4 linked regions of the Stegostoma tigrinum genome follow. The protein of the gene in region 1 purifies or fractionates together with the protein of each later gene. This does not show direct contact. Links are inferred from orthologs where the notes say so. Each region holds a gene or a part of one and is shown in the gene's direction. Other genes may lie near its edges. The genes, in order: sf3a3, snrpb2, sf3b6 and snrpa.

Region 1 (6,827 bases):
TTTTCTAGTAAGAAATTTAAGAACTCTTATGATGGTGGAAATGATTACTGGACTTGGACCCAAGAGACTGGCCTAACATCCTCTGGCAGCAGTTCTCCAGCTCAAGTATTTGTGAAGGTAAAACCGAAGCTGAGCTCAGTACTCACCATCCATAAGGCACCTTTTGTGCCATCTAGTGGTCATTGAATGATTAACCCAAACACTGGATGGGATAAGAAGCACTGTTGAAGCAACGAGCCCCAAGTGTTGGACTCACTGAAAGTTCAAATGAAGAATTTATATGAACTTATAATTCTTTGATAGAAATTTCTGGAAGTGCTGAGGTCTTCCAGCACTTTCTGCTTCCACCACAAAAAAACTGGAAGCACTCGCTTTTCCAATTGGTCTCTTTATGAGGGTGTCACCTGTTAATACCAGACTATGCAGGCAAAAGCTGACACCTGAACGCTTCTTGTAATGTACTTGTAGCATCCCTACCTTTGAGCTAGGAGGCCTAGGTTCAAGTCACACCTGCTCTAGAGTTGTCTAATAATATCTTTGGCCAGGTTTGGTTAGAAAATATAAAAACAACTACCTCCTGTACTAATACAGTGTGGAGCTGGAGGAACACATCAGGCCGGGTAGCATCAGAGGAGCAGGGAGGCTGACATAGGCTTTTCTGAAGAAGTGTCCTGACCCGTAACATCAGCTTTCCTACTCCTCTGATTCTGCCCGTCCTGCTGTGTTCCTCCAGCTCCACATTGTGTTGCCTATGACATTGGCAGTTCTTATTATCTCTGACTCCTGTATTTCCTTATTTAGACATACTTTCCAAACCTGAAGGAAATTATATTCATCCTTAATATTAAAATCATGCAAATTAAAATTAACATTACACACAGATTTTGAGTTATGTTGAAGTGCATCTTAAATTTGATGTTAAGGTACAATGACAGAAGAAATCATTGACACAGACACAAAGCAAAAATTAAAGTAACTGGTGGAATAAAATTCTGACATCCCTTAAAAATTAAAAATAGGCAGATTGGGAAGCAATTCTTCTCTCAAAGTGCAATGAAACTTTGGAACTATTGCTGCCAAAAAGCTGGCTAAGGAGTGGGGTTGGGACGGCCACAGGGTAAACTGGATGCTTGCCTTGGGCAGCATGATTTGGGGAGCTGCAAAAAAAACCCTGCGAGCTTTTTAAATAATTTTGAACTGAAACGCATAATTTTATACAACTTGGTTTCATTGTTGTTGTTTCCTGGGTCAAACACCAGTGCCATTATGATAGGACCTGACAGCTGCCCCGTAATTTAGCTCAGATTATGTTACCACAAAGGTTGGGTTCTTATTGGGACAGATATATTGAAGTTTATTCACAATATTTATTATTTACATAGCTGTAATATTATAAACATAGAAACTGCACAGGTTCTGTACTTTCTGATATTAGCCCATATGTTATACAGATGACAAATTGGCTGAACATACAACCCTGACTCCATGACACAGAAGTAACTGGTAGGTACTGGGACATCATGTATTTGAATGATGTGATGCTTGAAGGCGCACAACATGCCTTGGCCTGGAATCTATGCAATACCAAAACATCGCAATTCACACCCTTGTCTGCAGGGAAAGAACCTGCAATTGCCATCATCTTCCAGCATTACCATATGTTGATATCACATCCAATGTAACATCACCCAATCAAATTCAAACATCTTTAAACATACCATAAAAGCTAAGAGAACAGTGATTGGCTAGGATTCTGGTAGGTTGTGATGTGATTGATGGTGTTTTGAATTTCATTGAGGGGTTGGGTTAGTGTTTTGCAATGGATGTGAGAGGGGATTCATATCATTTTAATCTTTGTTGGGTCAGGGTTTGTTTTTAAGATTTACTGCAGATGGTCTTGCATTATTTTGACTGCGACTAGAAGTTAAACAGCAGAGCTTTAACCAACAGCCAATTCATTGCCTGGGTGTGTCATGTTAGTGATAAATTGACCAATGATAGTTCACTTGTCAAGAGTGACTGGCTCTGAGTGTTGGTCCATCCAAAATAGGAAAACACATTATCACTTATGAAGCAATTCAACTGACCTCTGTGTGTGTGTGTGTGTGTGTGTGTGTGTGTGTGTGTGTGTGTGTGTGTAGTACACACACTACAGCAGACTAATAGATGGGTAAATTTGCCGTATGGTACATTGGTAGAGGAGCGGGTCTGGTGGTTACATAGTCCACCAGAGCTGGAGTGGTGTGGGTGCTGACAAGGCCATAACGGTGTGTGGAGGTGGTTAGCTGCTGTCACAGCTGGTCCAAACTTTGAGTCCCCCACCACCGACGCACCTGAGCAGGGAAGGTACATGTACACATTGGATAAACAAAAAAAAAGCTATAGTGTACTCTGTACTGTGGAATAGTGCTACTTTGAGAAGGTCAGACCCTCGATATGCAAAACTGGGACATGGCATATACAGTTAATGGTAGGACGCTGTAGAGTGTTGCCAAACAAAGAGACCTCGGGGTATCGGTGCATTGTTCCTTGAAAGTGGAGTTGCAGGTGGACAGGGTAGTGAGGAAAGCATTTTGTATGCTTGCTTTCATTGGTCAGAGCATTTAGTGTATGAGTTGGGGTGTCATCCAGCAGCTGTACAGGACATTGGTGAAACCACTTTTGGAATACTGCTTACAATTCCGCTCACCTGTTTATGCAGCATGATTTTGTTAAACATGAGAGGGTGTAAAAAATATTTACAAGGATTTTGCATGGACAGGGGGTTTTGAGTTACAGAGAGAGGTTGAATAAGCAGGGGCTGGACTCTTTTCCCTGGAGTGGTGGAGACTAAGGGGTGACCATATAGAGGTTTATAAAATCATGCAGGGCCTGGATAGGGTGAATAGCCAAGGTTGTTTCCTGGGGCAGGGGGAGGGAGTCATGCAAAAGTAGCGGGCATAGTTTTTAAAGTGAGAGGGCAAAGATTTAAACAAAGATCTGAGGGGTAGCTTTACCATCGGTGTTGCATGAATGGAATGAGCTGCCAGAGGACATGGTGGAGGCAGGTACAATTACAACAGTTCAAAGGCATCTGGACGGTATTTGAATAGGAAGTGTTTAGAGAAATACGGGCCAAATAGTGGCAAATGGCATGAGATTAATTTAGGATATCTGGCTGGCATTGTTTGTTTCTGTGCTATATATCTCTACAACTCTACGTGGGACAAAGTCTTGGGTGAGCTCTGAACAGTGAGAGCAGAAAGCATAGTCACAGTCACTAATGTACTGCAATGGAGGCAGGAGTTGTGAACGAACCTGATTGCAACAAAGAATGTTCCGACTATTGACCAAGTTAATGCAGATATTTCATGAAGTCAACACTCCAGCCTCCGTGGACTGTGCTGTGAGCAAACCAGGATAAAACTCGCAGAAACATCAACATGAAGTAGAAACATGTTTCCTTGAACACTCCTGTGTAACTTAGTTGTGAAACATGTTGTGCGAATCTCACTGAGTTGGGAACTGCTGTCACTTTGGACAAAGCTGATAGACCCAGATGGGTTTCCCACAGCAACTCATTTTATTTGCTGAACAAGAAACAGAAATCACGGGAATGGTGGGATACATTTCCAACAAGGGAAACAAATCGACGTAAAAACACAAACAAATGAACGCAACAGTAAAATATATTGGCAGAAATGAAGCGTTTTCACGGTTGTTTTGCCTCTCTTTTGGGGGGGGGGGGAACGTTTCTCCAGCGGTCGCTGACGGCGGAGGCAGGAACGTGAACACCCCGAATTCCGGAAGGCAAGTCACGTCACGTCCGGCGGTCTGTCCAATCCGGGAGCGGGTCCGTCAGTTTCAGCACGGTCGTCGTGTCCCGCCGCAATGGAGACCATTCTGGAGCAGCAGCGCCGTTACCATGAGGAGAAGGAGCGGCTGATGGATGTGATGGTGAAGGAGATGATGGTGAAGAAGTCCACGGTGAGCGGGGGAGGGCGGTTGTGTTCAGGTTTTCGGCTGCTTCCTCTCCTCCCCCGGGAGGCCGGGCCCCTCAGCCTCGCTGTAGGAAACCCCTGCCCCTCCACCCCCCGGGGGCCCGGGGTCGTACACAGAAAAGCTCATAGTTTTTAAAAAGGGCATCTCAGACTGTTAGACCGTGAAATGTATCGGTGGAATAAGGCCATTCAGCCCCTCGAATCCACCCATCACTCAATGAACACAAAAGCTGGCGATTACAGTGGGTCAGGCAGCATCCACCCACGCCCCTCCACCTCCTCCCGAACTTCCAGTTCCCCGGTCCCCCACATCTCATTTTCACCGTGGACGTCCAGTCCCTATACACCTCCATTCCCGTACAGATGGCCGAAAGGCCCTCGGCTTCTTCCTGTCCCGCAGATCCGACCAGTCCCCCTCCACTGACACCCTCATCCGCTTATCCGAACTCATCCTAACCTTCAACAACTCTTTCAATTCCTCCCACTTCCTGCAGACAAAGGGGATGGCCATGGGTACCTGCATGGGCCCAAGCTATGCCTGCCTCTTTGTACGTTACGTGTAACAATCCCTCTTCCGTAACTACACTGGCCCTAAACCTAATCCCTTCCTCCGTTAAACTGATGACCATATCGGCACCGCCTCCTGCTCCCACGAGGAGCTCGAACAGTTCATCCACTTCAACATCTTCCAGCCCAACCTTAGGTTCACCTGGATCATCTCTAACACCTCTCTCTCTCCTTTCTGACTCCTCTGTCTCCATCTCAGGCAACCACCTCAAAACCAAGATCTGTTTCAAGCCCACATACTCCCACAGCTACGTAGAATACACCCCCTCCCACCCACCTTCCTGCAAAAATGCCAAAGCCATTCTCAATTCCTTTGCCTCCTCCACATCTGCTCCCAGGATGAGGCATTCCACACCTGTACATCTCAGATGTCCTAATTTTTCAAGGACTGCAAACCCCTGTAGTGGTCAAGAATGCCCTCAACCATGTGTCCCGCATTTCATACAACTCATCCCTCACTTCCCACAACTCATCCCTCACACCCCGTCCCCGCAATAATCACCAAAAGAGAATCCCCCTTGTCCTCATGTACCATCCCTCCAACCTCCAGATACAACGCATCAACCTCCGACACTTCTGCCATCTGCCAAAGACCACCTCACCACCAAATTCATTTTTCTCTCCCTACCCTTGTCTACTTTCCAGAGGGATCACTCTCTCTGTGACTCCCTTGTCCGCTCCACACTCCCGTCCAACCCCACCACACCCAGCACTTTTCCCTGCAACCACAGGAAGTGCTACGCCTGCCCCCATCCCTCCTCCCTCACCCCCATCCCAGGTCCCAAGAAGACTTTCCACATCAAGCAGATGTTCACCTGCACATCTGCCAATGTGCTATATTGTATCCAGTGGACCCGGTGTGGCCTCTGCCACATCGGGGAAACCAGGCGGAGACTTGAGGACCAATTTGCAGAATACCTCCACTCGGTTAGCAATAAACAACTGCACCTCCCAGTCATGAACTATTTCACCTCCCCCTCCCGTTCCTTAGACGACATGTCCATCCTGGGCCTCCTGCAGTCCCACATCGATGCCACCTGAAGGTTGCAGGAACAGCAACTCTTGGGAACCTTGCAGCCCAATGCTATCAATGTGGATTCACAAAAAACTAACTGCAACTAACCCCTACTGCATCCCAAAACCAGCCCAGTTCATCCCCGCCTCCCTAACCTGTTCTTCCTCCCACCTATCCCCCGCCTCCCACCTCAAGCCCCACCTCCATTTCCTTCCTACTAACCTCATCCCGCCCCCTTGACCTGTCTGTCCTCCTCAGACTGACCTATCACCTCCCCACCTCTACTGGCTCCATCCCCGCCTCTTTAACTTGTCAGTCTCCTCTCCACCTATCTTCTCCTCTGTCCAACTTCGATCCACCTCCCCCTCTCTCCCTATTTATTTCAGAACCCTCTCCCCCTCTCCCATTTCTGATGAAGGGTCTAGGCCTGAAATGTCAGCTTTTGTGCTCCTAAGATGCTGCTTGGCCTGCTGTGTTCGTCCAGCTCTACACTTTGTTATCCGTGGAATTGCGCACATGCTAACATTTCATGTCCAGATGACTCCTTGATCCCCAGCACTTGTTTTTAGTACAGACTCCAACATCTGCAGTAATTTGCTCCATCACTCTGTGAGATCGTTATCTGACAGTCCATTTCCCTGCCATACTCGATAAACTCCTTATCTCGTGCTGGTCAGAAATCTCTCCAACCTGGCCTGAAATGGATGTTGTAGTGCGGGGAATCCAGGCCAAGTGCTTCAAAGAAATAAACAGGAATTGCTGGAGGAACTCGGCAGGTCTTGCGGCATCTGTGCAGAGAACTGAAAGAACTGTGGACCTGTAAATCAGGAACAAAAACAGAAGTTGCTGGTAAAGCTCAGCAGGTTTGGCAGCATCTGTGAAGATAAAAGTCAGAGTTAATGTTTAGGGTCTGGTGACCCTTCCTCGGAATTGGAAGGGTCACCAGAACTGAAACGCGAACTCTAGTTTTTTGTTTCTTCGTAAGTGCTGCCAGATCTGCTGAGCTTTTCCAGCAATTTATGTTTATGGAGAGAAGTTATGAAGAACAGACACTGGACTCAAAGCTGTGACTATTTCTCTGTCGACCATTGCTGCAAGGCTAACTGAGTTTTTCCAGCATTTTTTTCCAGATTTTTAGCCATTCTTTGTTTTGTTCAGGTGTTTAAAATCTTTGGTTGATTCATTGGACTCAGTGTCATTCCTGAATTCATGTCCATATTGTCCATGTTTTCATTTTTGGAATACGAGTTTGAAAATTTCCAAAT
Region 2 (7,083 bases), on another chromosome or scaffold:
CCTTTCGTAAACACCAGATAACCCAAATTGTTTACAACTGATTAAGTATTTTTAAACTGCAGCTGCTGTTGGAGAAAATGCAGTAGCCAATTTGTAAACAGCAAATTCCCAAAAATGCCAATGTGATGACTAATACATCTGCCTTTGTCATACTGATTGAGGGAGAAATATTTGCAGAATACCTCAGAAGAGGACTCTTGTCCAAAGAAATAGGCATAGAGGCATAGGCAATGGACAAAGAGTTCAATGTCATATTGTATCAGTAATGCATGAAGGTGGGAGTGCAGGGGAATAAAACTAAGACCTTTACTGAGTACAAAACATTCAGAGAGCGGAAGGTCAGAAGGGGTAGTAAATGCATGACAGAGGTTGGGGTTGGGGTTGGCGGGGTGCTGGAGTTGAAGGAAAGGAAGATTTTGAACTGTATGATTTGTTGGAAAATTGAAGGAAATTGCTGAAACACTACCACATTTTCTTTGGCGATCCTGTGGCCTTCTGGACTCTATCATAAAGTTCAATAATGTTTGTGCCTAAGTGCACACCACCCCACCCCCAACCATTTCATTGTCAGCTACTAATGGTCCCCATTAGCAGTTAGTCATTCTCCCACACTAGCCTTTACCAATTCCTTTTTCTGTCCAACTGGTGTTTTCTCTGTCTGGGATTCTTCTCCACTTATCTTTTCCTCTACCGGACATGCATATGGTCACAGAAATTTGAGGGTGCATACATGAGGATCAATGGTCGGCACAACATCGTGGGCTGAAGGGCCTGTTCTGTGCTGTGCTGTTCTATGTTCTAAACTTCATTGACTCTTCTATGAAATTGTGCCTTGAGTTTTTTTACATCCACATATGAGGGCAAATACAGCCTGTGTTTAAGATCTCATCCGACACAACACTACTGACACTTAAGCACTCCCCCAGTTCAGCAGTACTGCGCTGAATGTCAGTATGTTTTTTTGCTCAAAGTCTGGAGTGGAACTTGAGACAACAATCTTCTAATTCAATGGTGAATGTGCTACCAATGAGTTTGACTAACATTGTGCCCTAAACCTCTGTACCTCTTCAACTCTCTTTATTCTTTAAGATTCTCCTTAAAACCTTCTTAAAATCTTTTCCTCATTTAATCCCATAGATAGTTCAGTATGAAGCAACTTGTGATATTTTACTATTTTATAGGTACTATATAAGTGTAAATAAAAAACTGTTTACAATGATCGGATAAAATTCACACTCTGGTTCTGGCTGACTATTTTAACAACAAAAGATTAAAGAAAACATACTTCCATTGTGTGAACATAACAGTTATCAGATCTGGGTTTAAAGATGAAAGATTATTGTATTAGCCATGGTCTCATCGAGTGACGGACCAAAGTCATGGGCTAAATGGCTTACTTATGCTGCTCCATTTGATGGCCTTATAAACACTGACATGACATTTCCGAAAGTTAGTGTCTATTATTCATTTAACAAAAAAAACGGAAGAACTGCCGATGCTGGAGATCAGAAACAAAAACAGAAATTGCTGGAAAATCTCAAAAGGTCTGGCAGCATCTGTGGAGAGAAAGCAGAGTTAACATTTTGGGTCCAGTGACCCTTCTTCAGAAATGATGGTAGCTAGGTAAAGGTTTGTTTGTATGTTGTGGGGTAGTGGGTAGTAGAAATGATAAGTGAAGATGGGGCTCAAAGACAGAGAAACAGTTGGATAGATGAAAGAATGAGTAAAGGTCAATCTAGAAGAATGAATAGCTGCTAATGGTGACTATTAGTAGCTAACAATGGGTTGTGTGTGGTAGCAGCCTGTGATGGGAAAGCCTGATGTGTGGGGGTTGGGGTAAGGACATAGGAGAAGGTGCTCAAGGCCGAAAATTGTTGAACTGTATTGAATCCAGAAGGCTGCAGAGTTCCCAAGCAGAAAATGAGGTGCCTTTCTTCCATCTTGCACTGAGCTTTGCTGAAGCACTGCAACAAGTCAGAGACGGAGATGTTGGCTAGGGAGCAGGCTGGAGTGTTAAAGTGGCAGGCAATGGGAAACTCAGTTTTTTTTGTGGATAGAATGCAGGTGTTCAACAAAGTGGTCACTCAGTCAGCTCTTTCTTTCCCCAATGTGGAGGAGACTACATTGTGAGCAGCAAATGCAGTAGACTAGATTGTGTGAGCGCTGGTTCACCTGGAAGGTGGGTTTGGGCCTTGAATGGTGAGGAGGGAGTAAGTCAATGGGCAGGTGCTACACCTTCTGTAATTGCAGGGGATGGTGCCGTAGGGCTACGGGTACATTTTTGGAATGAAGGAGGAGTGGACAAAGGTATTCCAGAGGTAACAGGGAAGGGAATATGTATCTACTGGTGGCATCTCGCTGGAGGTTGCAGGAACAGTTGTTTATGATCCTGTAGATGTGGATTCTCGTGGGATGTTAGGAGAGGACAATGCGGACTCTGTTGTTGTGGGTGGGAAGAAAGGGCATGAGAGCTGAAGCGCAGGAGCTGGGCTGGACCTATCTGAGGTCCCTGCCAGCCAGGGAACTGGGGAAAGGACAACGCATAACTCATTGACAGCTACTAATAGTTCCCATTAGCAGCTATTCAATCTCCCAGTTTGACCTTTACCCATTCCTTTGTCTGTCTTTGGTTTCCAACTCCACCTGTTGTTTACTCTTCCCCTTCTCCCCCACTTCATCTTCTTCATAAATGCCAACCTTTTCCTAGCTATGATCGGTTCTGAAGGGTCACTGGACCCAAAACACTAACTCTATTTTCTCTCTACAGATGCTGTCAGACCTGCTTTCTGTTTGCATCTATTATTTATTTATTGTTTACTAATCAAAATTTGCAATTATGTACATGTCAATCCTTAATTAACCAACATGTAACAAATGACCAATATAGTGGAGATAACAAGGTGTTGAGCTGGATGAACATGGCAGACCAAGCAGCATCAGAGGAGCAGGAAGGCTGATGTTGTGGGCCTCGACCCTTCTGGAAATGTCAGCCTTCCTGGTCCTCTGATGCTGCTTGGCCTGTGTGTTCATCCAGCTCTACACCTTGTTATCTCAGATTCTCCAGCATCTGCAGTTCCTACTATCTCTGAACCAATAGACACCACTGAACGCTCAGATGGAAGATATTCAGAGAGCTGCAAAATTACTTAGGACTGAATTTTATCTTCAGGACTGTGAGAACCATAGCTCACTATGTAACCAAAATACTGTTAATGTTGGAAATATAAAACTAAAACAAAGTGCTAGAAATGCTCTCCAGGTCTGGCAACCTTTGCTAACAGCTGGATCTTCTGATGAGTGGCGATCGCCTTTGCATTGCTACTGCACTCTTTATTCTGCATAGGATCAGCATTGTAAGTTACACCCTATTTGAGGCAGTAATTGGTCTATTCCATGATATTAAAGTCGCAAGATAATTTGACAAGCTAATTTAACAAGGCTCAGAAGGGGGCAACGTGAAAGATAAGGAGTGTAAGTCATGGGGTAGTTTTTTTGGGGGTGCACTCCACAGTGAACTGGGGATGGGACATCAGATTTTAATCCTTTCCTTGGGTGAGGACGCGTTGTAGACTTTCATATTGGGTCGTTGAGGCTGGGTGAATTTAAGCATACTGGTGATTCAATCTTTTTTATATCACCAGTTAGCTTACTCATATGAATTGCCAGAGGAAATGGTAGATGCAGGTTTAGTTACGACATTTGAGATACATTTGGGTGGGTATATGAAAAGGAAAAGTTTATAGTGATATGAGCCAAATAGAGATAAACGGGACTAATTGAGATGGGAGAGAGAGAGAGAGAGATAATGGGAACTGCAGATGCTGGAGATTCCAAGATAATAAAATGTGAGGCTGGATGAACACAGCAGGCCAAGCAGCATCTCAGGAGCATAAAAGCTGACGTTTCGGGCCTAGACCCTTCATCAGAGATGGAGTCTAGGCCCGAAACGTCAGCTTTTGTGCTCCTGAGATGCTGCTTGGCCTGCTGTGTTCATCCAGCCTCACATTTCATTATCTCAAAACAGCACGGGGCGGTTTGATGAGGTCATCAACGCGCGACGCAGATGGTTGGTCGCGCGTTGAAGAGGTCATCAACGCGCGACGCGGATGGTCGGTCGCGCGAGTCGGAGAAAGATCGAGAAGTAAAAACCCTCGTGAGCGTGATAGTGAGGAGTAGGTATGGAGTTGTGCTTCGGTGGGGTCGGCGAATGGGACTGCTCACTTTAATAAAATAGTCTGCTTCTCCGACCGAAAACTGGTCTCGGTTGCTGTCTCCAGTGTTCCAAGTGTGTTTGGCGTGTAGTTGCAGTCGGGTTTGAGGAAACACTATGCCGGTTGTAGTCCACCTTACGTATTTGGTTTGTAGTAACCTAGAAGCAGCAACTCCTCTTTCCCGCCGTCAGTAATCCCGTAGCATTTTCCAGAGATGTTCAGAAATAAACTGAAACCGAAAGGAAGAATGAGGAAGGGCCTGGCGGGGTGAGCTGAAAGCCTGTGAATGCAATGTAGTATGTGAGAAGGTCGGAAAACATTAGTGCGGTGAGTTGTAGGAGCTTAGAGGTAAACTAAAGAAAGGAATTAAACAGGAATTTTAGATTGAGTAGTCTAGAAGCCACCGTAGTAACGCGGTCACAGTGAGAGGTGAGCGGAACCGAGTTTACGATGGGATACGTGTTGCCAAGTTTTGGAGGAGTTTGTGTTTTAACATGTGGAGGCTAAGAGCATCTTGAAATAATTGTTTGCGGACCAAAATTTCGGGGATGGATGGGCGAGGTCAGAGCTACATTTAAATAAAAAATATGTTTCTTCTGTTTTTGGATATCGTAACGTTGCTTTTCCATGCAGTAGAGAGGTTGAGAGAACAAGAGTGAAAGTGTGGAAGCATGTAAACAAGAAAGGGAAAAAGTCCCGAAATAAATACTAGTTGGGTTACTATTGGGGTAGTAAGTGGGTTGACCTACACCCTTTCATCTAGCCTGCTCAGTTATCTCGGATGGAGATTTCTAGACATTCACAACCCTCCTGAAAGGGGGATAGTCATCTCTTTAAAAATCCATTGTGGAATCAGAGAACACCTGACAATGGTTTGTGATTCTCCCAGCAATGGTAAAATCTTTTGAACACTTACCTTGTCAAGCCCACCCACCATCTAAGATGTTTCAATTAGATCAGCCCTTGTTCTTCTAAACTCTATAAAGGCCTAAGCCTTTGCTTGATAAGTTAAGGCCAGATCCCAGGAATCAGCCTAGTAAATCTGTTTTGAACTACGTGCAGTGCCAGTATATTCTTTCCTGAATACATGGACCAAAACTAAAGACAGTACTCCATGTGCAGCCTCACCCTGTACCCAGCTGTAATAATTTCCCTGTTTTTAACTTCTGACCCTGAACAATAGAGTCAAAAATTGTTTGTCGCCTTAATTATTTGTCGAAGCTGCGTGCTATATTATTGCATTTCATTTGCAAAAGCTTTCAGATCCTATGTTGCTGTCTTGTGGAGTCTATCTCCATTTTAAATAATAGTCTGCCTTTTGACCTGATAATTTGTTACATTAAATTTGTCTGCCAAGGTTTTGTCCACTCTCTCATTCTCTGTTCCCTTGCAGATTCTTTGCCTTCACTATATGCACTGCTACCTATATTTGTGTTATCAGCAAATTTGGATATATTACACTTTGACCCTGCCAAGCCATCAATATTGATAGCTTGATGGATAATATTTGAGACTCTGCAGCTCTCCACTAGTTGCATCTTTTACAACCTGAAAAAGTCCCCTTAATCCTGGCTCTCTCTGTCTTCTGCATGTAAACCAACATTTCTCATTTTAATTCATTGCCTCCAGTACTGAGAACTACTTTCAAAAAGTAACATAGTGAATTGAGGGCAAAGCGTTGGACGTGATTTGTATGGACTTCAGAATGGATTCAACAAGGTTCCGCATGGCAGACTGGTAGTGAGGTTAGATCGCATAGAATACAGGGAGAACTAGCCATTTGGATGCAGAACTGCTTCAAAGGTGGAAGACAGAAAGACAGAGGGTGATGGTGAAGAATTGCTTTTCAGACTGATAATTGACTCCTAAATTGGTGGTGAAGTGGACAGCCAAGAAGGTTACCTCACAGTACAATGGGACCTTGATCAGATGGCCCTGTGTGTCATGGAGATGGAGTTTAATTTAGACAAATGTGAGCCCCTGCATTTTGGAAAGGCAAATTAGGGTAAGACTTATATACGTAACGGTAAGATCCTGGGGAGTGTTGTCGAATAAAGCGACCTTGGAGTGCAGGTTCATGATTCCTTGAAAGTGGAATGGCAGGCAGATAGGATATTGAAGAAGGTGTTTGGTATGCTTGCCTTTATTGGTCGGTGCATTGAATATAGCAGCTGGGAGGTTGTGTTACAGCTGTGCAGGATATAGGTTTGGCCACTTGTAGAATATTGCATTCAATTCTGGTCTCCCTGCTATAGGAAGGATGTTGTGATCCTTGAAAGGACTCAGAAAAGATTTACAAGTATGTTGCCAGGGTTGGAGAGTTTGAGGGAGAAGCAGAATAGGCTGGGGCTATTTTTTCTGGAGCATTGGAGACTGAGGGGTGTCCTTAGAGATTCATAAAATGATGGCTAGAGTGAATAGGCAAGGGTGGAGGAGTCCAAAACTAGAGGGCATGGGTTTAAAGTTGGAGGGGGAAGATTTAAAAGGGACCTAAGGGGCAACTTTTTCAAACAAGGGGTGGTGCCTACGTGGAAAGAGCTGCTAGAGGAAGGGGTGGAGGCTGGTACAATTACAGCATTTAAAAGGCATTTGGATGGGTATGTGAATAGGAAAGGTTTAGAGGGATATGGGCCAAATTCTGGCAAATGGGACTAGATTAATTTAAGATATCTGGTTGGCATGGGCAAGTTAGACTGAAGAATCTGTTTCCATGCTGTGTGATTCTGTAATTAACCTGTTATGGGGCACCTTATCGTATACTTTCTGGAAATCCAAACATATTATATCTTTTGGTTCCCCTTCTCAACTCTGCTTGTTATATCCCCAAAGAACGCTACCAAATTTATCAAACATGATTCCCCTTTTACAGAAC
Region 3 (7,102 bases), on another chromosome or scaffold:
GATCAGCCATAATCATATAAAATGGAGAAGTGGGCTGAATGGCCAACTCCTGCTCCTATTTTCTGCAATACAAGAAGCACTGATATTGGTAGACGAACTGGTGATTTTGAGATACTTGGTTTTTCAGCAGCTCAGCATCCGTTTTCCTGTTCCATTTCTTTGCCTGCTTTCTATTTTCTAGCAAAGGAGACTTATTTTCATTTTACCTTAAATTCAAGGGTGACTCAAGGTTTTCACAGCTGTGGTCGTCACTGAACACACCTTCACACACTGGAACACATAAACTAGTGTTGGAATCGGTATTTAATTGTTTGTATATTCATGAAAGAGGAAAATCCAAATATGTTTCTCACCCATACTGCTCTCTCCTGTCATGTTTACAGGCTGGAATATAGTTCAATTTGTAGTCCTTTTTGTCCTTTTGAAGTCCTTCTCTTTGAAACTTTCTTGACACTCATCAGTTGTGACATTTGTGGGTTTCCTTCAATACGAAGGATAACCCACACAGGCTTACCAGAAATATCACAGCCTTACATTGCATAGAAGTTATATTCTCAGTCGTTTTAGCTATAACCACTCTTCAAAAAATGGTGTATTTAAAAGTTTAACATATCTAGTGGTGATCCATAATCTTAATAGCCCACGTCTCCACATTGCATGTTTATGAACATTAAAATCGGTAAGCTGCAGTCCATAAACGGCAGTAAGTATACCTGAATGCACCTAAAACAGTGCAGTCACCAATCAAGGGAAATATGAAAATAACACAAGTGTGAACTCTGGATAATATTATGTTGTGTCTTATTGTGAATGAATGCCATTAACTGTTCCCCCACTACATATGAACTCAACATGTACCTCAACCCATGATAAAACAGAAAGTGCTAGAGAGACTCGGCAGATCTGACAGCATCTGTGGAGTGTCATAAAGTCATACAGCATGGAAACAAACCATTTGACCCAACAAGTCCATGCTGACAATAATCCCAAAAAAACTAGTCCCACTTGCCTGCGATTGGCCCATATCCCTCCAGCCCGTTCTTATTCAAGTACTTATCCAAATGTCTTTGAAACATTATAACTGTACCCACAACTACCACTTCTTCTCAAAATTCATTCCACGCACAAAACTTTCTCTGTGTAAAATAATTGCCTCTCTTGTCCTTTTTAAATCTTGCCCCTCTCACTTAAAAATATGCCCCATAGCCTTGAACTCCCCCACCCTAGGGAAAAGACCCTTGTCATTCACCTTATCTATGCTCCTTACGATCTTATAAACCTCGATAAGGTCACCCCACCACCTCCTACGCTCCAGTGAAAGAAGTTTCAGCCTATCCAGCCTCTCCTTATAACTTTAACCTTCCATTCCTGGCCACATCCTGGTAAATCATTTCTGAACCTTCTCCAGTTTAATAAATCCTTCCTATGACAGGGTGGCCAGAACTGGACACAGTGCTCCTAACGGATTGAGTCTGGTATTATTTTTCTGCTAACTCTTCAGAATACATAATACAGAAACATTTAATTACTTGTGCACACTACAAACAGCAGAGACAGCAGCTCTGACGCTCCTCTCCCCTTACTTCCACACTAACCTCCAGTCTAACTTTCAGACTTCTCCTACTCCTCCCATCCCACCTCCCCACGACCCCACCATCCCTGCCCTGACCAATCTCTTACTCCAATTCAGTAGTACGGGGTGCAACAGTGGAGGTAGCACATAGTGCAGGATGGTGCCCTGCGGGCTGCATGTGGGAGCACACAGGTTTGTGGCTTATGCTATCGGTCATCAAGGAAAGTCTGTAACACTGGCAGCAAAATCAGTTACTGCACATAGAGGTAAATGTAAGGATTATCGTAAATTGGGCAGTTACTGGCATAGATTTCCAAGTGGAAATTTGATTCTCTTGGCTGTAACAGAGACCTAGCTCAAGTGCAGGGCAAGATTCGCTGGTAAATCTTCCAGAGTACAGGGTGTTTGGAAAACATAGAAAAGGGAGGGAGACAGATTTGGTTAAGAAGAAACTTTGTAGTGCTGGAAAAAGTGGACTCTTGATGGGTTCAAGGACAGTATCCATTTAACTACATCGAACAAAAAGGATACACTGCTAGTGTAGTTTATATCCAACTAAAGAAAGAACAAATATGCATGGAAATTGTAGAGAGATGCCAACATTACAGAGCAGTTATGATCAGGGACTTCAGTTGTACAAATTTAGGCCGGGATTTGGTCGTGTTAAGGGGCAGGAAGGGCAAGTATTCCCAACACCAGAATGTGTCCAATCCAACAAGGAATGATGCAATGTTGGATCTGGTTCTTGAAACTTGGGTGGGCCAAGTCGATCCAATGTCAGTGACAGACATCTAGGAGACAGTTCTGAAGAAGGGTCACTGGACCCGAAATGTAACTCTGTTTTCTCCCCCACAGATGCTGCCAGACCTGCTGAGCTTTTCCAGCAACTTTGTTTTTGTTCCTGATTTACAGTATCCGCAGTTCTTTTGGTTTTTATCTAGGAGACCGTGATCATTTTATCACAAGGTTATAAATGATTGTGAAGAATGCCATTAGTCAACCAGAGTAAGAAAAATTAATTGGCAGAGAGCCAACTTTAGTGGGGCAAGAATTGAACTGGACAGGTTGGAATAGAACGAGTGGTTGACGGGAAAAACTGGAAGATGCTCCCCAGGCCAGTGAAAAAGGAAAAAGATCAATCACCAAAAGGGTTCAATATTGCTAAGGAAGAAGTGTTGGATAGATGGTTGGTACTTGGAGTTGACAAGGTACCAACACTAGATGAGATGCATTCAAAGATATTGAAGGATATAAGAGTGTAAATTGTATAATCTTTCAGGCTTCCTTAGATTTGGGAGAGGTAACAGAAAATTAGAGATTTGCAAACACTAGGATCTTATTCAAGAATGGTTGTAAGGATAAGCCCAGCATTACAGACCAGTCAGTTTATCCATGACTTAGGAGTTGAGAAGCTTCCAAAACTATTATTTTCGATAGAATTAGTGGTCACATGGAAAAAAGATGGTTTGATTAGGTAAAGTAAGTATAGATTTCTGAAGGGAAAACATGGTTGACTAACATTGGTGATTTTTGAAAAGGTAACAGAAAAGCTCAATGAGGGCAATACTGTCATTGTGGTGTATTGGACTTTCAGAAGGCATATCATACCGTGCCAGACAACAGACTTTTGAGGAAAATATAGGTCATAGGAATAAAAAGGTCAGTTGCAATATGGATATAAAATCAGCCAAGTGGTAGGAAACAAAAAGTAATAGTCAATGGCTAATTTTCAAACTGGCAGAAGGTCTGCAGTGGAATTCCCTGTAGTCAATATTGTGTCCCTGGCTTTTTTTTAAAAACAAATATTAGTGATGTAAATCTTGGTGTTAAGTGAACAATTTTAAAGTTTGCAAATAACACAAAACTTGAAAGAGTTGTACTCTGAGGAGGTCGGTGTAGAACTTGAAAATGGCAGCGAATTCAGTAGAGTGAGCAGGAAGCATTGCATATTGACGTGGATACCCCACCATAGGAAGAACGTGCCTGTCTGGAAAAGAATGCAGAAGCAATATTATGAGTGGTTCCAGGAATCGGGAACTTCAGCTATTGGAACGGATTCAAAGAATTGTCACTGATTCTCTTCTGAGAGAAAGACGCTAAGAGCCCTTGTGAAGCTTTGTAAAATCACCACGCTGTGGAGACTTGCCACCAATTTGAACTTGGTGCGTGCCTTCGATCCCTGGTCTTGGGCCCCAACTGCAGGTATGCCAGCTGTGGCTGATACAGTCAGTGTTCAGCGATTGCCCCAGGAATATCCCCAGTGCCCAGGATAACCCTGCACGCAGGAATGGCTAATACCCCAGGAGCAAACAGTGCCTCGGAACACTCATTGCCAAAGGGAGTGTTGCAGGGACATGCTGCACCGCGGGTAATCCCACTGGGAAAGGGCACTCCTGGGACTCCCTGCAGCTACATTGACCTGGAAACCTGAACCTCTGTGACCTCCTGGTGACCCCTTGGAACTGGGCAACTCCCCGGAGCACGTGGCAGACGGGTGCGTATGACGCCAGGGCGCAAGGGGTCTGTGACGCCAGTACGCTGTTGCGTCGCCGCGGTGAGGTTTCCTGCGCGCTCTGATCGGCCCTGTGTGCTCGGCCTCTTGTTCCTACAGACCGGTCGCGATGGCGATGCAAGCGGCGAAAAGGGCGAACGTGAGTCCGCTTCTCTTTAGTCGTTGACCGCGCCACGCCCCCGGCCTTTCCCCCAACCGACTGCCGGCTCCATTCGATCTTCCGTCCGTCGTACGTTCAGCCCCGAAGCCGGGCTACACGCTCACCTCCAGTGAGGCGTCCCCTTGGCAGAATAGGATTGTCCCTCACGAGCCGCACGCCCCACCCCCACACTCCCCACCCCCACACTCCCCACCCCCACACTCCCCACCCCCACACTCCCCACCCCCACACGAATCCTCCGCTCCCCCCCGAATCCTCCGCTCCCCTCCTCCCCCCCCCGAATCCTCCCCCCCCCGAATCCTCCCCCCCCCCGAATCCTCTCCCCCCCCGAATCCTTTCCCCCCCCCCAATCCTCCCCCCCCCCGAATCCTCTCCCCCCCCCGAATCCTCTCCCCCCCCGAATCCTCTCCCCCCCCCCGAATCCTCCCCCCCCCCGCCGAATCCTTCCCCCCCCGAATCCTCCCTCCCCCCCCGAATCCTCCCTCCCCCCCCGAATCCTCCCTCCCCCCCCCCGAATCGTCCCCTCCCCCCCCCGAATCCCCCCTCCCCCCCCCCGAATCCTCCCTCCCCCCCCCCGAATCCTCCCTCCCCCCCCCGAATCCTCCCTCCCCCCCCCCGAATCCTCCCTTCCCCCCCCCCGAATCCTCCCTCCCCCCCCCCGAATCCTCCCTCCCCCCCCCCGAATCCTCCCTCCCCCCCCCCGAATCCTCCCTCCCCCCCCCCGAATCCTCCCTCCCCCCCCGAATCCTCCCATCCCCCCTCCCCCCCCCGAATCCCCCCTCCCCCCCCGAATCCCCCCTCCCCCCCCGAATCCCCCCTCCCCCCCCGAATCCCCCCTCCCCCCCCGAATCCCCCCTCCCCCCCCGAATCCTCCCATCCCCCCTCCCCCCCCCCTGAATCCCCCCCTCCCCCCCCCGAATCTCCCCCCCCCGAATCTCCCCCCCCGAATCTCCCCCCCCCGAATCTCCCCCCCCCCGAATCTCCCCCCCCCCCCGAATCTCCCCCCCCCGAATCTCCCCCCCCCGAATCTCCCCCCCCCCGAATCTCCCCCCCCCCCGAATCTCCCCCCCCCCCGAATCTCCCCCCCCCCGAATCTCCCCCCCCCCGAATCTCCCCCCCCCCGAATCTTCCCCCCCCCGAATCTTCCCCCCCCCGAATCTCCCCCCCCCGAATCTCCCCCCCCCCGAATCTCCCCCCCCCCCGAATCTGCTCCCCCCCCCCGAATATCCCCCCCCCAAGGGCGTCCCCTTGGCAGAATAGGATTGTCCCTCACGAGCCGCACGCCCCACCCCCACACTCCCCACCCCCACACTCCCCACCCCCACACTCCCCACCCCCACACTCCCCACCCCCACACTCCCCACCCCCACACTCCCCACCCCCACACTCCCCACCCCCACACTCCCCACCCCCACACTCCCCACCCCCACACTCCGCTCCCCCACACTCCGCTCCCCCCCCGAATCCTCCGCTCCCCTCCTCCCCCCCCGAATCCTCCCCCCCCCGAATCCTCCCCCCCCGAATCCTCCCCCCCCCGAATCCTCCCCCCCCCGAATCCTCCCCCCCCCGAATCCTCCCCCCCCCGAATCCTCCCCCCCCCGAATCCTCCCCCCCCCGAATCCTCCCCCCCCCGAATCCTCCCCCCCCCGAATCCTCCCCCCCCCGAATCCTCCCCCCCCCGAATCCTGCCCCCCCCGAATCCTGCCCCCCCCGAATCCTGCCCCCCCCGAATCCTGCCCCCCCCGAATCCTCCCCCCCCGAATCCTCCCCCCCCGAATCCTCCCCCCCCCGAATCCTCCCCCCCCCGAATCCTCCCCCCCCGAATCCTCTCCCCCCCCGAATCCTCTCTCCCCCCCCGAATCCTCTTTCTCCCCCCCCCTCCCCCCCCCGAATCCTCCCTCCCCCCCCGAATCCTCCTCCCCCCGAATCCTCCCCTCCCCCCCCCGAATCCCCCCTCCCCCCCCGAATCCCCCCTCCCCCCCCGAATCGTCCCCTCCCCCCCCCGAATCGTCCCCTCCCCCCCCCGAATCGTCCCCTCCCCCCCGAATCTTCCCCTCCCCCCCTGAATCCTCCCCCCCCTCCCCCCCGAATCCTCCCCCCCCTCCCCCCCGAATCCTCCCATCCCCCCTCCCCCCCGAATCCCCCCTCCCCCCCGAATCCCCCCCCCCCGAATCCTCCCTCCCCCCCAAATCCTCCCTCCCCCCCCCGAATCCTCCCATCCCCCCTCCCCCCCCCGAATCCCCCTCCCCCCCCCGAATCCCCCCTCCCCCCCCCCCGAATCCTCCCTCCCCCCCCCCGAATCCTCCCCTCCCCCCTCCCCCCCCTGAATCCCCCCCTCCCCCCCCGAATCTCCCCCCCCCGAATCTCCCCCCCCCGAATCTCCCCCCCCCGAATCTCCCCCCCCCGAATCTCCCCCCCCCGAATCTCCCCCCCCCCGAATCTCCCCCCCCCGAATCTCCCCCCCCCCGAATCTCCCCCCCCCCGAATCTCCCCCCCCCGAATCTCCCCCCCCGAATCTCCCCCCCCCGAATCCCCCCCCCCCCGAATCTCCCCCCCCCGAATCTCCCCCCCCCCGAATCTCCCCCCCCGAATCTCCCCCCCCCCGAATCTCCCCCCCCCCGAATCTCCCCCTCCCCCCCCGAATCCCCCCCTCCCCCCCCCGAATCCCCCCTCCTCCCCCCCGAATCCCCCCTCCCCCGAATCCCCCCCTCCCCCTCCCCCGAATCCCCCCTCCCCCGAATCCCCCCTCCCCCTCCCCCGAATCCCCCCTCCCCCTCCCCCGAATCCCCCCTCCCCCTCCCCCGAATCCCCCCGAATCCCCCCTCCCCCTCCCCCGAATCCCCCCTCCCCCTCCCCC
Region 4 (7,133 bases), on another chromosome or scaffold:
GTATACCCTCTGGCCTTCGCACAGTCCACTATCTCCTGCAGACCCTGCACCTCACACATGTTCAGCAAATGTCCGGCCATCCATAGAGCCACCAGTCCACACCTGAATCACAATAAAATACAAGGAGCAGTGGTGACTGAGAAAGCAATTGCAGTTTATAGGCAGAAGAAAGGTCCACAGCACAGCACACAATGCAATCTCACATGCAGGCATGAGATGAATGGCAGTCAATCTGCTTTGGGAATTAGTTGAAGGTTGAATATTGGCTAGGACACAGGGAAAAAGCACCCACACTTGGCAGATTATGGAAGGCAGCATTTATAGGTGAGAGAAAAACAGAAAAACTACCCGTGTTCTGATGAAAGGTCATGGAACAGAAACATTAAATCTGTTCCACCAGAGGTGATGCCAGACATTGCCAACATTTTCTATTTCATAGAATCCCTACAGTGTGGAAACAGGCTATTCAGCCCAACAAGTCCACATAGACCCTCTGAAGAGCATTCCACCCAGGCCCATTCCCTCTACCCTATCTCTGTAATCCTGCATTTCCTGTTGTTAACCCACCTAGCCTGCACATCCCTGAACACAATGGGAAATTTAGCATGGCCAATCCACCTAACCTGCACATCTCGGGACTGTGGAAGGAAAGTGGAGTACCTGGCGGGAAACCATGTAGACACGGGGAGGATGTGCAAGTTCCAGTTGCCTTAGGATAGAATTGAACCTGTGTCCCAGGCACTGTGTGGCAGCAGTGCTAACCGCTGAGCCTCTGTGCCCCCATTTCTGCCAGTATGCACCAATGTAGAGAAACCAGAATTAGATACTTACTGTGGACCATCCTGGATCAGCGAGGGTACATATTTATTAATAAGGAGCCATTGCAAATCTTTGTTGAAGCTGGAAATATGAGAAAATCAGAAAAATGTTCAGCCATTGGAAAAGAATCTATCACTTGATAGCACACTTGGGCTCTGATATTAAACTGCAATAGTACATGAGGATGCACTGTTAACCTATAATAACACATAAAGGATGCATTGCTTAGTCTATAAGAGGGCAGTAACTTGGCCAAGCCATTAACTTCGCACAGTATACAGAGTGTTACAACCAAGATTGGAGCGGGGCATCAATTTCCCTTTAGTCCCACTCCTCCACTGGTCATAATGAATTTTAAACTGTGTGGTGATATGGCCAATTCAATAGGCTTTACATTGTATCTGACTTAGTGCTAGAAATAATTCAGCCAGTTTCTTAAGTTAACAATTAATACCTAGTTTATTACAAATAAAACTTACTCAGACAAAAGTGTAAATGTAAACATCAAAAGTGATTGAGTCAGATCCCATGGATTACTCAGCAACTACCTACCCACCCCTCCCCGCTCTCAGGATGTCAGTGACATTGTGGGTTACTAAGTCTCATTTTAAGACTTCACTGTTGAAGAACTGGCCTTTAAAGTACATCAAAAACTACTCCATCATGCATTGCCTCAATGATTGCTCAGTTTCTGGTAGCTCACCACCTGTTCCAGGAGTGACACTCCTCTGGATTCTGGAAACCACACTCTAGCATCGTCACAGGTGCAAATGCATCTTTTTTCGTGGACAGCTAGCTTTATCAAGTTAGTACCGCCCTTGATTTATTTTTCCTGAGCTCTAACATTTGTCAGTTGTACAAAGTGTTACTTGTGGGTTTCCATAACCTTGCTCACAACTGTATTGAAATATTAATGGCACGTGGCTTTTTCCAAGGTCTCTCAGCCCCTAGGACGTACCTGAAGACCAAACTCCAACACATAGCTGTACCGACAATCCTAGATCTCTTTCCTGAGTTTTGACCGCAGAGTTATTCGACTGTGTTTGACTTCTCAGAGATGTTTTTAGGAAGTTGTACTACACTTGAAATGTTAATTGTGTCTCTCTACAGATTACAGAATCCCTACAATATGGATGCAGGCCATTCGGCCAACTGAAGCCACATCAACCCTCCAAAGATGCAGTTGTTCATTAACATGCGGAAGGAAGCAGAACACCATTGCTTCAATTAGAAATCACATTGATGATGTTGCCTAGAAGGGTAACAGAATGTCTGCACACCACAGAACAACCAGCTCAGTGCGCTAATGAACAACTGCATCCACAACCCGAGCTACAAATTTTCGCTAAGACCTTAAAAACCATTTAAAGAGTATCCCACCCAGACCTCGCCTATCCCTCCATTTCCCATAGCTAATCCATGTCTGGACACTATGGGCAATTTAGCATGGCCAATCCATCTAAACTGCATGTCTTTGGCCAGTGGGAGGAAACTGGAAACCCATGCAGACATGGGGAAGAATATGCAAACTCCAGACAGTCACCCAATGCTAGAATCGAATCCAGGTCCCTGTCGCTGTGAGGCCACTATGCCACCCATATGCTGCCAGAACTGCTAGGTTTCTCCAGCACTTCTTGTGTTTCAGGTTTCCAGCATCTCCAGAATCTTGCTCTTATTTAAACAACTGTGACAAACATGGCTCATAATTTTTAGTTTTATATACCTGTTAGGCCTGCTCTGGACCAGCAACTTCACCTCCTCCCAGTCTCCAGTTACTGGTAATCGGTCTTGAGCAAAAATCTGGTATAATTTATTTTGTGATGGTTCAGAAGGAGGGGACAGAAAGGGTGGAGGGAGGGGGGGAGGAGGAGGAGGGACTGACAAATAGTCTGTACCATCAGATGTGTCACTGATGAGATTTTGCTCTCCTTGTGCCATTTCAACATGATGGAGGTGGGACATGGCAGCCCACTATTTAACGTTTGGCTTTGACTTGATAAATTGGAGCATCCCACAACAATTTTTACGAGTAAGTTGCCTCAGTAACTAGTACACCAAGGGTCAGAGATACTGTTGTAATATTTGCCTTGGAGGAAAAAAAATCATTATCATTTATCACTTATTGTTCCAGAAAATATTTGTCTTTTATATTTAATGGGGGAGTTAGGGGCAGGAGATGGGGTGAGTGGTGGAGGATTTGGGAAAGTAGTCTCAGTGGGAGTAATGAAGACTCCATGTTGAGGGAGAAGGGGGGCATGGAATAACTGCATGACATTCAACAATTTAAGAAAAATGATGTGAGGTCCATCAGGAAATCACAGACCCGTTACTATCTGCTGTCAATAAATTGCCTGAATCCACAAATTCAAAATTTCTGAGCATAGAGCCAGCACAGATTTATAAAGGGTTAGATAGCAGGGAATAGTGCTAGTTGTAACAAGGACTGGATTTGCAGAAAAGAAATCAACACAGAAGAGTGGGCGAACAGTGGTTGGAAGCTGGGTCAGTTGAGGTAGAACTGGTATGGGACATGGGGTAATTTGGGGATGAAGTAATTAGGGAATGGGATGGCTGGATGGAGAAACAGTAGTTAGGGAAGGGGTCGATTAGGGATGGTCAGGGAAAATGAAATCATTTGAGGGATGGAGTAGTTGTGAAGGGGTGAGGCAGGGGTATTTTGAGGTGTTGGAGGCAGGGTGGGATGATTGGGGTTGTATAGTTAGGTAGAGTGGAGTGATTCGGGTATTGTGGAGAGTAACGGGGCACTTTGGGGTGAGGTGTGATTTTTATTGTGGGATTGGACTGTGCAGTTTGGGGAGGGGTGGAATGGTTGGAGTAGTTTGGGATGTAACTGAGGGATGGGAATAGTTGGTAAGGTGGCTTTTGGGGTGAGATTGGAGTTGGATCGCTGGGGAGGTTGGAGGGCGATTGGTGATGGGGTGGAATGGTTTTTGGGGAGAGGGAGGGGATTGAGGTGGGTTGGGGTTATTTGAGGTGTTTGGTGTTGGGGAGTGTCGGATAGGGGAATAAAGTAATTGGGGGATAGGATGGATGCAAGTGTGTGTGGGGTACTTAGGAAAGCGGAGGGTCGGGAATTACTGAACACGTTCTAGAACATTCCGTCCCTGAATCCCACTCTACATCCCGCGATTGGCCACGGTGGAATGGCCAATTTGATTGACACCGGTCTAGTCCAATCAGTTCTCTCAGATCGGGTCTGTGCTGTTGAATGGACCCAGACCGTTAGCGAGTCACTGATTCCCCTCTCCCGCCCTCTTAGCCGCTCCTTCTCGATCTCTGTTTCTGTTTCTGTCCTTTCTCACTCCCCGCCGGAGCCCGAAACGTCAGCTTTTGTGCTCCTGAGATGCTGCTTGGCCTGCTGTGTTCATCCAGCCTCACATTTTATTAGCTGGGGAAACCATCCGGGTCCCGCGGGGACACCGACCCTCCCGCCTTCGTCTGATTGACGGGACCGCGGACAAATCGGTGAGCGGCCCCGCACCAGGGCCGGCCAATGGGAGCTGGCCGCGGGGTGAGGGGGTTGGACTTCCGTCGTGGCGCGCGGTGCTGGCGGTTAGGGCCCGCGACCATCCGCTGCCATCCCCCAGCGTTTAGAGCCGGCGGCCGCCCGCAGTTAGCCTGATCGTCTCTGTGTGCGGGAGCTCGCATCGCGTCGCACGGTCGGTTCTTTAGAGCCGCGGTCTCACCAGGTTCGTACGGAGCAGCCTGCGGCGGAACCACGGGTTAAAGCTTCCGCCGACGGGCGGTAGCTTCCGGTTCAGGGCCGATGGAGGTAAAGAGAGGGCGGAGGGTTGGCTGAGAGGGAGAGAGTAGGCCAGGGGTAAAGGGTGAAGGGTGGTAAGGCAAAAGGGAGGGCTGAGTGGCTAAAGGAATGTGAGAGAGGTTGAGTTGATGGGTGGGCGTCTAAGGATACAGCGTATGCCAGAGGAGACTGAGATGATGAGAAATTCCTCCACCCGCAGACTGCTACTACTGTGGTTTTCTGTGGTACAGAAAACAGGCCAAAATACTACGTTTCAAGAAGGAGTTGGATTTGGTGATTTGGGCTAAAGGGATCAAAGGACATGGGGAGGGAAAGGTAGGGTCAGGTTGTAGAGTTTGATGATCAGATGTGGTTGTAGAGAATTGTGCAGCAGGCTTGAAGGGCCGAATGGCCTCCGCCTGTTTTTTATGTTCGTGCACAGAGGGGGCTGTGTGAGCTCTCAGAAGGAGAGGGGGGTAGGCTGACCTTTCCCTCAGAGGTGGGGGAGAGAAGGGGCTGTCTTGCTTCTCAGAGCGGGTGAGCTTGGATGAAGGATGTGAGAGAAGGGGTTGTTTAGTAATCCTGTCTCTGGGTAACGGGCAAAGGAAGGACAATACGTACTCTTAACTTTGGGATCTAGGATGGGGTGTGCTTGAGTTGCTTTAGAGCAATTTAGGGATGTGACTTACATTTCTACCACTTATAGCCACACATTGGGCTGCAGTCCTTTGAATCTGGGAGCGGTGTTAGCGGATGAGAATGGATACGTTTGGCAGCCACCTTTTGTCAGCTTTGGTTCTGCACAGTAACCACATGTAATGCTAGCATGCTGAGCAGCATTTCCTCTCAAAGTGTGTATACAACCACAGTGATTAGTGTTGTTTTGCTGATCAAGACATTGACTTCCAATTCTGGAAGTTGCTGCTGCATTGAGGCTTTGGAAGTTCAGGCAGCCATTAAAACAATTAAGGAGTGTGGTGCTGAACTACAGTGAACAGGTTGAATTCTGCTGATCATCCTTGGTCTGGACTATCAAACCTTTTAAGATTTATTGAATGTCACAGCTTGCCATTGTTGATTTTGAGCTCATGATTTCTGAGTTGAGTTCAACTCTGAGATTTGCCATAATGAAGTTAGAGAGAGGTTTATTTCTTTTGAAGAGTGACATCTATGAGACTGACTTTCACTTGTGCTCATTTCCCCCCTCAGTTTTAATTTTAGTTAGCGCAAGAGTAGAGCCATGACTACCCAAGAGGCCCGTCCAAACCACACCATCTACATCAACAATTTGAATGAGAAGATCAAGAAAGATGGCAAGTATTCAGGGATAGTTCTGGTTCAGCAGTGTATTCGGGTATGTTTGGGTTGGGGACTTCGAGAGCATTAGTGGGGTCTAAGACAATAAATGCTGGCACAGTTAGCAAAGTGTGTACTGAGAGTGAATTTTAACAAACTGCTCCTCATCCCCTCATGTTTATTTAGTTTCTTAAAGGAAATTTCTCTCAACTATCCCTGCGGTGGGAAGTTCTGACTAAGCATAGCTTAAAACAACTTTCTCCCAGTTTCTTTATTGGAATTATTAATAAGTACCATGTATGACCCGTTGTTTCGGAGTGTTCAACAGCCATATGCAAGGACTGTTATAGAGTCGTACAGCATGGAAACAGGCCCTTTGATCCAACTCGTCCATGTGACCCAAATTTCCCAAACTGAACTAGTTCCAACTAACTCCTTTTGGCCAATATCCCTCTAAACCTTTCCCATTCATGTACCTGTCAAAATGCCTTTTGATTTATACATTTAAAAGGCATCCTGAAGGGTATGTGAACAAGAACGGTTTACAGGGAAATGGGTCTAGATTAATTTAGGGTATCTAGTCAGCGCGGACGAGTTGGACCAAAGGATCTGCTGCCATGCTGTACATCTCTATGACTCTGTGTTGTAACTGTACCTGGATTTGCAGCAGTTGCCGTTGAGTCCCTTCAAATCAGGCAGTTGTCTATTTTGTTGAATATGTCCCAAATGTTAAAGACCATAGTGCTAAAGATGACCCCTCCCTGGCTCTAGCCTCTTTGTAGAAAAAAGAGCCCCAGTCTGCCAGTCATCTCTAACACAAACATATCATTTAGTGTGAGTTAACCACTCAACCCCTAAAGTCTGTTCATTCTTTCAATAAGATCATGGGTGATCTGATAACTCCACTTTGCTTACCCACAAAACCCACTCTCCAAATATGGTGTCTCCAATGCCCTGTATAAATGAAGCATAACTTTGTTTTGTAACTATAACCATGGTTCTGGTGTCATTCTTGCAAAGCTTTGTTTGCATCTTCTGTATTGTTTTTGTAAGAGGTTGACTGGGCTTTGCACAATATGACATTATGAATCAACCGCATTTACTGGACATTCATGAACTTGAATTGTGGTTTCAAGTTCACGTTCAAGTCTGGTCGCAATTGTACTTGTGACTGATTTGAAACTGAAGTTGATTGTGTTATGTTTCTTCTCTTTCTAGAGTTGAAGAAATCGCTGTATGCCATTTTTTCCCAGTT

What was found.
Region 2: the proteins of sf3a3 (region 1) and snrpb2 purify together in Homo sapiens (affinity purification with mass spectrometry; 6 studies listed by BioGRID and IntAct, with this or other methods). This does not show direct contact. The link is inferred for Stegostoma tigrinum from reciprocal best matches to the Homo sapiens genes SF3A3 and SNRPB2.
Region 3: the proteins of sf3a3 (region 1) and sf3b6 purify together in Homo sapiens (affinity purification with mass spectrometry; 3 studies listed by BioGRID and IntAct, with this or other methods). This does not show direct contact. The link is inferred for Stegostoma tigrinum from reciprocal best matches to the Homo sapiens genes SF3A3 and SF3B6.
Region 4: the proteins of sf3a3 (region 1) and snrpa fractionate together in Homo sapiens (co-fractionation; 4 studies listed by BioGRID and IntAct, with this or other methods). This does not show direct contact. The link is inferred for Stegostoma tigrinum from reciprocal best matches to the Homo sapiens genes SF3A3 and SNRPA.

Annotation. Positions count from the first base shown.
Region 1 is NC_081377.1:18,061,820-18,068,646, reverse strand, and holds the start of sf3a3 (splicing factor 3A subunit 3), read left to right. Parts: upstream 1-3,801; 5' UTR 3,802-3,870; coding exon 3,871-3,966; intron 3,967-6,827. UniProt on the Homo sapiens protein: Component of the 17S U2 SnRNP complex of the spliceosome, a large ribonucleoprotein complex that removes introns from transcribed pre-mRNAs.
Region 2 is NC_081371.1:23,725,710-23,732,792, forward strand, and holds the start of snrpb2 (U2 small nuclear ribonucleoprotein B''), read left to right. Parts: upstream 1-4,062; 5' UTR 4,063-4,176; intron 4,177-4,437; exon of another isoform or gene 4,438-4,538; intron 4,539-7,083. UniProt on the Homo sapiens protein: Involved in pre-mRNA splicing as component of the spliceosome. Associated with sn-RNP U2, where it contributes to the binding of stem loop IV of U2 snRNA.
Region 3 is NC_081357.1:122,345,142-122,352,243, reverse strand, and holds the start of sf3b6 (splicing factor 3B subunit 6), read left to right. Parts: upstream 1-4,087; 5' UTR 4,088-4,194; coding exon 4,195-4,224; intron 4,225-7,102.
Region 4 is NC_081392.1:9,170,234-9,177,366, reverse strand, and holds the start of snrpa (U1 small nuclear ribonucleoprotein A), read left to right. Parts: upstream 1-4,121; 5' UTR 4,122-4,305; exon of another isoform or gene 4,306-4,612; intron 4,613-4,654; exon of another isoform or gene 4,655-4,918; intron 4,919-5,791; 5' UTR 5,792-5,822; coding exon 5,823-5,895; intron 5,896-7,096; coding exon 7,097-7,133. Other genes in the region: actmap (actin maturation protease), read right to left, coding at 1-102, 832-900, 2,543-2,781. UniProt on the Homo sapiens protein: Component of the spliceosomal U1 snRNP, which is essential for recognition of the pre-mRNA 5' splice-site and the subsequent assembly of the spliceosome. U1 snRNP is the first snRNP to interact with pre-mRNA.